Nothobranchius furzeri: one gene and its partner. The protein of the gene in region 1 interacts with the protein of each later gene in a pairwise test. Links are inferred from orthologs where the notes say so. Each region holds a gene or a part of one and is shown on either strand. Other genes may lie near its edges. The genes, in order: atp6v1d and bbln.

Region 1 (4,405 bases):
TCAAGAGTGAAAGCAGAAAAATATGTAAATATGTAATATTTTGTAGTGCTGTTGTAAATTTGACTTTAATAAAGTTTTTTGAGTTCATGGATGGGCAGAGCAGCCACAAAACTAAATCTACTCCAAAAACCTTTCATCAAAGATCAACATTTTACTTGCAGCAGTTTGAAGAGATCAAGTTTACTTTCATTTAAACGCCAACACATATTGATGCTACTGGTTTATTCACTTTAATCCAAACTGGAGATTCAGCTTTCAAAGAACATTTGACTTTTTATCACCACTAATCTGTAACAAAATTATTTCCCTCAATTGCAATGGACCTTTCTATGTTGTTCTTTGTTTAATGGAGAATGTTTGATGATTTTATTCTATTGGTATTAATCTGTTGACAGTGTGTGAAATATTATGTCACCAGTAAAACATTCCAATATTAATAAGCACAATTCACTTCTACAGGAGACTTGTTAATAACCCTTTGAGGGGGTTATTAGGAAGAATAAGGTGTTAACAGCCAACAGCACCTTATCTGAACTTAACAATCTGCGGCTTCAGAGAAACAGAAAAAGACTTAATATGTAATACTGATATTTGCACAAGTCATCAAGAATAAATAATGCACGGCTCTTGATACAATCAGCACCCTCATTAGCAGAAAACCCTGTGCAGAAAGCAAAATGTTGGGATTATTGCATAGAACAAGCATTTCAAGTATTCACATTTCAGCATTAATATTTGACCCGTTTGAAATAAATAAAATTCAGAACAGTTCTTCAAAAGATTCGTAGTTTTAGGCTTTTCCCCCCTCAAAATTTTAGTCTAGGAATGAATGGGATGATGCAACGTCCACAACTTTTTTTAAGAGCAAAAAACTGGCTTGAACATATGGAATTAAAAACAGACAATAAAATATTACAGCACATTAGTACTAGTAGTAAGGCACATTATAGCACATAGATAATGAATAAAACGCTAAGAGATAACATACGGTTTCATTACAAGCAGAAAAAGACATTTTAAGGTGTTAGCTTCCTGGCTAAGGTTTCCAAATCACATGCGGCTGCCAATGCTACACGTTTAGCTAGCAGTCTCTTCGTCGCTTCAAATATCTTCTCTGTCAGCGAAAACTCACCTGTGTCATGGAGTTACAGAATGATAAAGTTGGAATTTTATGATGGGCGTGTTTAAATGCTTCTCTATGTTTTCTTTCGGCTGCTTTTAGATGAAATTCTCAGACCCGTTAGCTCACATTCATGGGTGTGCAATTTTTTTTTGCCCCGGAAAGAATTAATAGAGAGTACCTCTCTGCGCATGTGTAAATTCACGGCTGTGTCACATGACTTGGGGTCAGCTGATCATTACGGACGGACAAGATCACGACCATTAGCTAGCTACGTTCACCTAATCCTGCTCGAATTATAGCTTTTTTGAGATATTATATTAACCTCAAACGATTCGTTATAGTTACAAGTAAAGTTAAATATTTAAGTTTAAAGCGTAGAAGTAGATCGGTCAACATAAAGACGAAAACATGTCTGGAAAGGACAGGATCGACATATTCCCGTCTAGAATGTAAGTATCGTCTTTTCTTATCGTATCGTCTTTTCTCTTGGCTAACAAATTAGCCCCCCCCCCCCCCCCATTAAATGTCACATTATTTTTCTAGCTTTCCAGATGCCGTGATAATTAATTTTCTGCATTTATTTACCTTAATTGGACCGCGTCTGCACTGCGGATACATTTTATTCATAGTTTGAGTCTGCTGTTTAAAAGAGGAAGCGCTATTTTTGTGTCATGTGATGTTTCTAACATCTGAGTGTGAACAGAGTCTGTACCTGCTTCATGAAAGCCACAAGGAAGGTCTAGTTCTAATTTTAAAGCCAAACTGACTGCACGTCACCTGTTTGTTTATGTGGAAAAACTCACTCAGATATTCATGTGTAAAAAAAGAAAAGTGGGTATCTGTCTTTCAGGATGGCCAACCATGCAGAGAAAAATAATTAGACAAATACTTTAAAAAATGTACAATAGGTGGTTGTGTAGTCACATCAGGTCTGAATCTATAAATAAATGTCATCTGTGTGTTTGCAGGGCCCAGACCATCATGAAGGCTCGACTGAAAGGGGCTCAAACTGGCCGCAGTTTGCTCAAGAAGAAATCTGACGCTCTCTCGATGCGCTTCCGTCAGATCCTTCGTAAAATTATTGAAGTCAGTCAGAACATTTAATGATTGCTGCTTCTCTTTCTTCACTCCAGCCAATTTGACACTAAAATAACTAGAGCAACTATTTAAATCTTGCATTATTTCTCACATAATAGAAAAACACCTAATAATGGAATTTTCTTTTATTCTCTGTTCTTTTAGACTAAAACTAAGATGGGAGAGGTGATGAGAGAAGCAGCTTTCTCATTGGCTGAAGCCAAATTTGCAGCTGGTGACTTTAGGTAAGAGTAATGACAATGTTACAGCCGTGTTTTATCGAGTCTGTTAGACGTGCGCAGCAACTTTTCATCTTCTTTCAGCACAACTGTAATCCAGAATGTGAACAAAGCCCAGGTCAAGGTTCGAGCCAAGAAGGATAATGTGGCGGGTCAGAAAAATCTTCCCATCATCATCATCATCATCATCACTGTAATTGATGGGAAACAACTATTCATGCTGAATTTGTCTTTTCAGGTGTCACCCTTCCAGTGTTTGAACACTACCAAGAAGGTGGAGACAGTAAGTAGTGTAATTGTACTTTTCAGACATGCATCATATTTGGATTAGTGTCTGTGAACCTCAGAAAGCTCAGCATGTTTGTGTGTGTGTGTGTGTCAGGTTATGAACTCACCGGTCTAGCCCGAGGAGGTGAACAGCTCTCCCGGCTGAAGAGGAATTATGCTAGAGCTGTTGAGCTGCTTGTGGAGTTGGCCTCCTTACAGGTGCTGTTATGGCTTTTAAGGCGTATTTTTCTGCCATATTTGCAAAATATCTATATATATATATATATATTTAATTTTGAATAAAAATTAATATTTTTTTAACAGACATCATTTGTCACCTTGGACGAAGCCATTAAGATCACTAACCGCCGCGTGAATGCCATTGAGCACGGTAAACAAACGAGTTGTTCAAAGATCTACAGATGCTTGTGTTTTTAACCATCTTTACTCTCCGTTGCAGTGATTATTCCCAGGATTGATCGCACTCTCACCTACATCATCACAGAGCTGGATGAGAGGGAGCGTGAGGAGTTCTACAGGTGAGAGCAGCTGCATCGGATTCCTTAACCATTAGTAAAAGGATCTGATGGGTTAGGAAGTCAACTACTGTAAGAGTCATGTGTAATCATTATTTTTGGTTTTTGGTGCATCTTATTTAAATATTCAACCTAAAACTGTTGGTGTAGCGCCCTCTTCAGGTTAATAGTCTGCATTCCATTTGAATTAGTTAGCCATCGCTATTGGTTAAAGGGTACCACTGTGGGGTCTAATACCAGCCGAATTTCTGGGTAAGCTATGCCGCCAGCAGGCTCTGCACCGGTTGCCTTGGCAACTCACAAGCCGATGCCTCAGGGCTGCTCACCTCCTCCAAAAAACCAGTCAGTTCAGGCTGCAGTCCCGCCCTCTCACCCCATCAGGCAACGCCTCCTTTTGGTGCATTTTTGAAACCAGAAGTGTGGGTGGAGTAAGGCTCTGGTAGGGGGGTGACTTACTCTTTAGTTTGGCCATTCTGAAGCTTCACATTTACAGTACCTGTTATTTTCCGCTGTGCCAGGCTGAAGAAAATCCAGGAGAAAAAGAAGCAGCTCAGGGAAAGGACAGAACGGGAGATCGCCGCCCGGCTGGCTGCACTCGGTCCCATCGCTGAGCCGGCTAACATGCTGACGGAGGAGACGGACGAGGACCTGCTGTTTGAGTGAACCCCTCCCTCCCCCCGTGGTTCAACACTCAACGTCTTATTTATTCCGTGCCTCCGGCCACGTTCACACCTCCCTATAAAGTTATTTTTCCCCTCCAGATCTGTGATTGTGTTTCTGTGCTGGAAAAGTCTGAACGTCTTCTCGTGTCGCTGTACAGACAAGTCTTAAGAAAAAAAAAAGTAATTATGAATAATAAACGTGTTGTTTGTGAGTAAAATGAAAGAAGCCCTCTGTGTGAACGGCTCACCTGTAGACGTCGTTTGGAGCATCGCATGCTGTAAAGCTGAAGTCTGTGTTGTGGAAACCTGTGAAGGGTAAATCTCTGACCCTGTAAAATATTGTCAACAAAATAAAGATGCTCTAAATATAAAGCAAACGCTCTTTTTTTTATGCTTTTGGTTTGAACACAAATGAGCCACGTTTACTCTGTAAGCTCATCCTGCTTCATAGAACATCACGCCTTTGTTTCGGCTTTAAGACTTCACACAACTACCAGGAAC
Region 2 (3,283 bases), on another chromosome or scaffold:
ACCTGAGTGGATCAGGAGTGGGATAAACACGGGCAGAGAATTTCAAAAAGCAAAACTGTTTCTTATTGTATTTTTATTCAGCTACTGAAAAAATAGAGATGAACAACCAGGTGATGTTTTCTAACTGCTGGAAGTTTATTGTATTTTTGGATGTTTCTTTTTCTGTTTGGGAGTAATCTTAATTTATATTAAAATGTCTGAAATCCCATAATGATCCATGACTCATTGGAATGTCGTTTTTCCTCTCCGTGGTTTTACACTTGAAACATACTGTTCAAGTCAAAGACTGATCATTTTTCATTATTTTAAATGTTAGATTAAATTCAACCTAAACTTAAGATTTACCCTTTGTAACCACTGCTAGGAATTAGTTTTGGATAAAGGTCTGAAGTGTGATTTAACCTACTTTAAAGTAGATACAATTGATGTTAAGCGCATGCCATCGCCCTCAGTTTATCTGTGATCAACATGCAAAAATGACGAGGTTGGTTAATTTTGTGAAACAGGCCTTGGTTATTGCTCTAAATGAAATGCATGGCTCTTTGATTTTAGAGTAATAATAAATGTTTGGAGCATTTATAGGGAAATGTTAACAGAAATGAGGTAAGGTATCTTCACTGAAAACCCCAGTGATGCTGCAGTTTTAACTGCGATAAATATTTTAATTCTCTTCACATTTTTACACAAACACATTTTACTCAGAATGTTCCAAGTCTGGGTCAATAAACTCATAACTGCATAGAACAGAAACACCAGCGTGTCAAAGTTCACCGGTGGAAAGCTGGACTGAGTGTCTGCCAAATGGAATGTAGCTTCACGGAAATAATCAGGACAGACAGGAAACCCAAGCTGATCAAGGGCGACTAATCGATCTCATCTCAGAATCTGCCTGAATCAGTACTGATAACAAAACACCACGTTTAACGACTATTGTCACTAGTTTGTGAATCTGCGCATTCATTTAAATCATCTTTGGTGGGTGAGGAAGACTCTTCCTCTGTGGTCTGACGCTCCCTCTGGGTGCACCCTTCCTCTTGAGTCGATTGAGCATCCAGCTGAGCCCTGAAATCCAAACGGGCTTGCCGATTTGACTCTAGAAGTTCGTGAAGTTTGCCATTCAGTGCGTCATTACGCTCCTCCAGGTCATCCAGATACGAATTGATCTGATCCAGCATCGTATTGATGGCGGAGTACTCTGCGGGTGAAAAGCAGGATAGACGCTTTGGTGATTTACGTAGAAAGCTTCCGCCAGACTCAATAATTCAAATAACATTCAGAAACATGACTCAGTATGCATAAAAAGTTTACCCTCTTCGCCAAATTCATCGTCGTCGTTGATAATACCATCATCAGTGGAGATTGTTGGATCCCCGTTTGGTCCTGACATGATTCAAACTGAAGTAAGCTGCCACTTAAACTCACGCAAAGCTAGCAGCTAGCTAACTCGCACCGGTGCTATTTGTCCTCCGTGACCTCGAATCTCCTCGGTTTAAATGAACAAAATTATAAGAGTTCGCTTTCTAATGTCCTTTCTAAAGGTTGTGCTCAGAGTTCATGTCCAACGCTCTCAGAGGACATTTCAAACAAGGTTAGAGATCTGTCAGCGGCCAATGATAAATGTTTACGGAACAAATTGATTCTGGGAGAAACCTGAGCAGAGATTCGGGAGTAAAACAAGATGTCTCACTCTGGTAATTATTCACAGATGAAATAGGTAAAATATTCATACATTAGCGACAGATAATTTGCAAAACTACTGTCTTCAAGCCGCTACCATTTTATGTTTCCAATGTCGATGGTTCCCATTCATTTTAAACAAGCCATGTCATCACTTTTGATTAAAGGTACAGAACTTTTTTCAGAGTGAACCCTCTTACCTTCTTACTCAGACTCAGAGCGAGAGTCAGCTGACCGAAGCACCTGACTTCCTCTGTCTGGATTTATTTCCCTACCCATTATTTATTTACTCTTCGTTACAAATTACATTTTCCAGCTGTGTTAGGTGTATCCTACAGTGGTTAAGAAATAACCTTAACATACTGGAAATTTCTCTTTCAAGTATTTTAGTGGGGGGAAACAGCTGCATTGGTGGTTGCTGAAAACAAATCTTGAGTGGCAATGTGAGAAAATATTTTCCTTCACAGTTTATTAAAGGTATTGAAATGAACAGTTGGCAAATGACTACAGTTCCAAAACAGTACTTTATTCCTCTTCTCCAAAATATTGGAATATGGAGAAAAAAAGAGGAGAAGAGAGTAGAGAATAGTGACCTTTCAGACTACATGTGATGCAGATTTCACAATAGAAGAAGTAAAAAAAAAATGCGACACGTGTTTTATTAGGGCCGCACAATATATCGGCATCAGTATCAGCCAATGTTAGTCATATTTTAAAATATGGTATTGTTCTGATAAATAAAACTGGGCCGATATTAACAACCAATATTTTTTCCATCTTGTTTCTATTTGTTTATCTGTTTCAGAGGGTGAATGGGGGTATTTGTTTAGTTACGTGACAGTGATTGTAATCATCTCAGATGTGTAAATCTCCAGCTACGTTGAAGGACGCAATTTACTGATGCACGATGCTGTGTTTGCTAAATGAAAATAAAAAAAAAATTATTTTTTCTTTTCATTTATGTACAAACAAACACAACAATCGAACAGCATATAAACGCCCTTGATCGATCCAGCCAGACTGGGACGTAATTTTTTTTGGGGGGGGGGGGGGGGGGACATGTCTCCCCCACTTTTTCAAAAGGCAGTTTTGGTCCCCTGCACTTTTTTACGTCCAAAAACAATGTTACGCTCCATTAAATGGATTTGGTTGAGCACTAGGACCGAAACGGAAACCGGTTTACTATTAGACCCGCCCAAAAGCTATCTATTGGCTCTGCTGATACTTGCTAACGTATTATTGGCTGTTGCTGCTGTCACTCAAGTTGTAAACAGTCAGAACGTGCTCACGTTGTTTTGCTAGTTTGGAGCCGCTAGGGAACACCGGTACTGAGTCACATCGTCAACTAGACGCTGTGTAATATCAGAGCTCAGCTCAGCTTCCATTACATAACATTTGAATAAGTGTTCATTTGTGAGTCTTTGGTAGTTAGGCACAGCCAGGAGGCAGCATGTCAAGAAAACGAAAAGTGGATATAAGAGACTTCTTTCAAAGTCAAAACGTAAGTTTGACATGTGACACCGCTGCATTAAGCTCAGACTCACCTCCTCCTTCACACACATACTCAAAACTAACTTTTACAAACTCATCTCCTCCACATAACTGA

The links.
Region 2: the proteins of atp6v1d (region 1) and bbln interact in binary tests that used the Homo sapiens proteins (3 or more experiments, as listed by UniProt). The two-hybrid records come from large-scale screens. The link is inferred for Nothobranchius furzeri from reciprocal best matches to the Homo sapiens genes ATP6V1D and BBLN.

What each region holds. Positions count from the first base shown.
Region 1 is NC_091742.1:8,441,584-8,445,988, forward strand, and holds atp6v1d (V-type proton ATPase subunit D), read left to right. Parts: upstream 1-1,334; 5' UTR 1,335-1,531; coding exon 1,532-1,572; intron 1,573-2,091; coding exon 2,092-2,209; intron 2,210-2,365; coding exon 2,366-2,445; intron 2,446-2,523; coding exon 2,524-2,591; intron 2,592-2,677; coding exon 2,678-2,722; intron 2,723-2,821; coding exon 2,822-2,925; intron 2,926-3,030; coding exon 3,031-3,097; intron 3,098-3,166; coding exon 3,167-3,245; intron 3,246-3,760; coding exon 3,761-3,905; 3' UTR 3,906-4,281; downstream 4,282-4,405. UniProt on the Homo sapiens protein: Subunit of the V1 complex of vacuolar(H+)-ATPase (V-ATPase), a multisubunit enzyme composed of a peripheral complex (V1) that hydrolyzes ATP and a membrane integral complex (V0) that translocates protons.
Region 2 is NC_091746.1:54,789,956-54,793,238, reverse strand, and holds bbln (bublin coiled-coil protein), read right to left. Parts: upstream 1,663-3,283; 5' UTR 1,388-1,662; coding exon 1,309-1,387; intron 1,196-1,308; coding exon 921-1,195; 3' UTR 631-920; downstream 1-630. UniProt on the Homo sapiens protein: Essential for intermediate filament organization in intestinal cells, interacts with intermediate filament and regulates intestinal lumen morphology.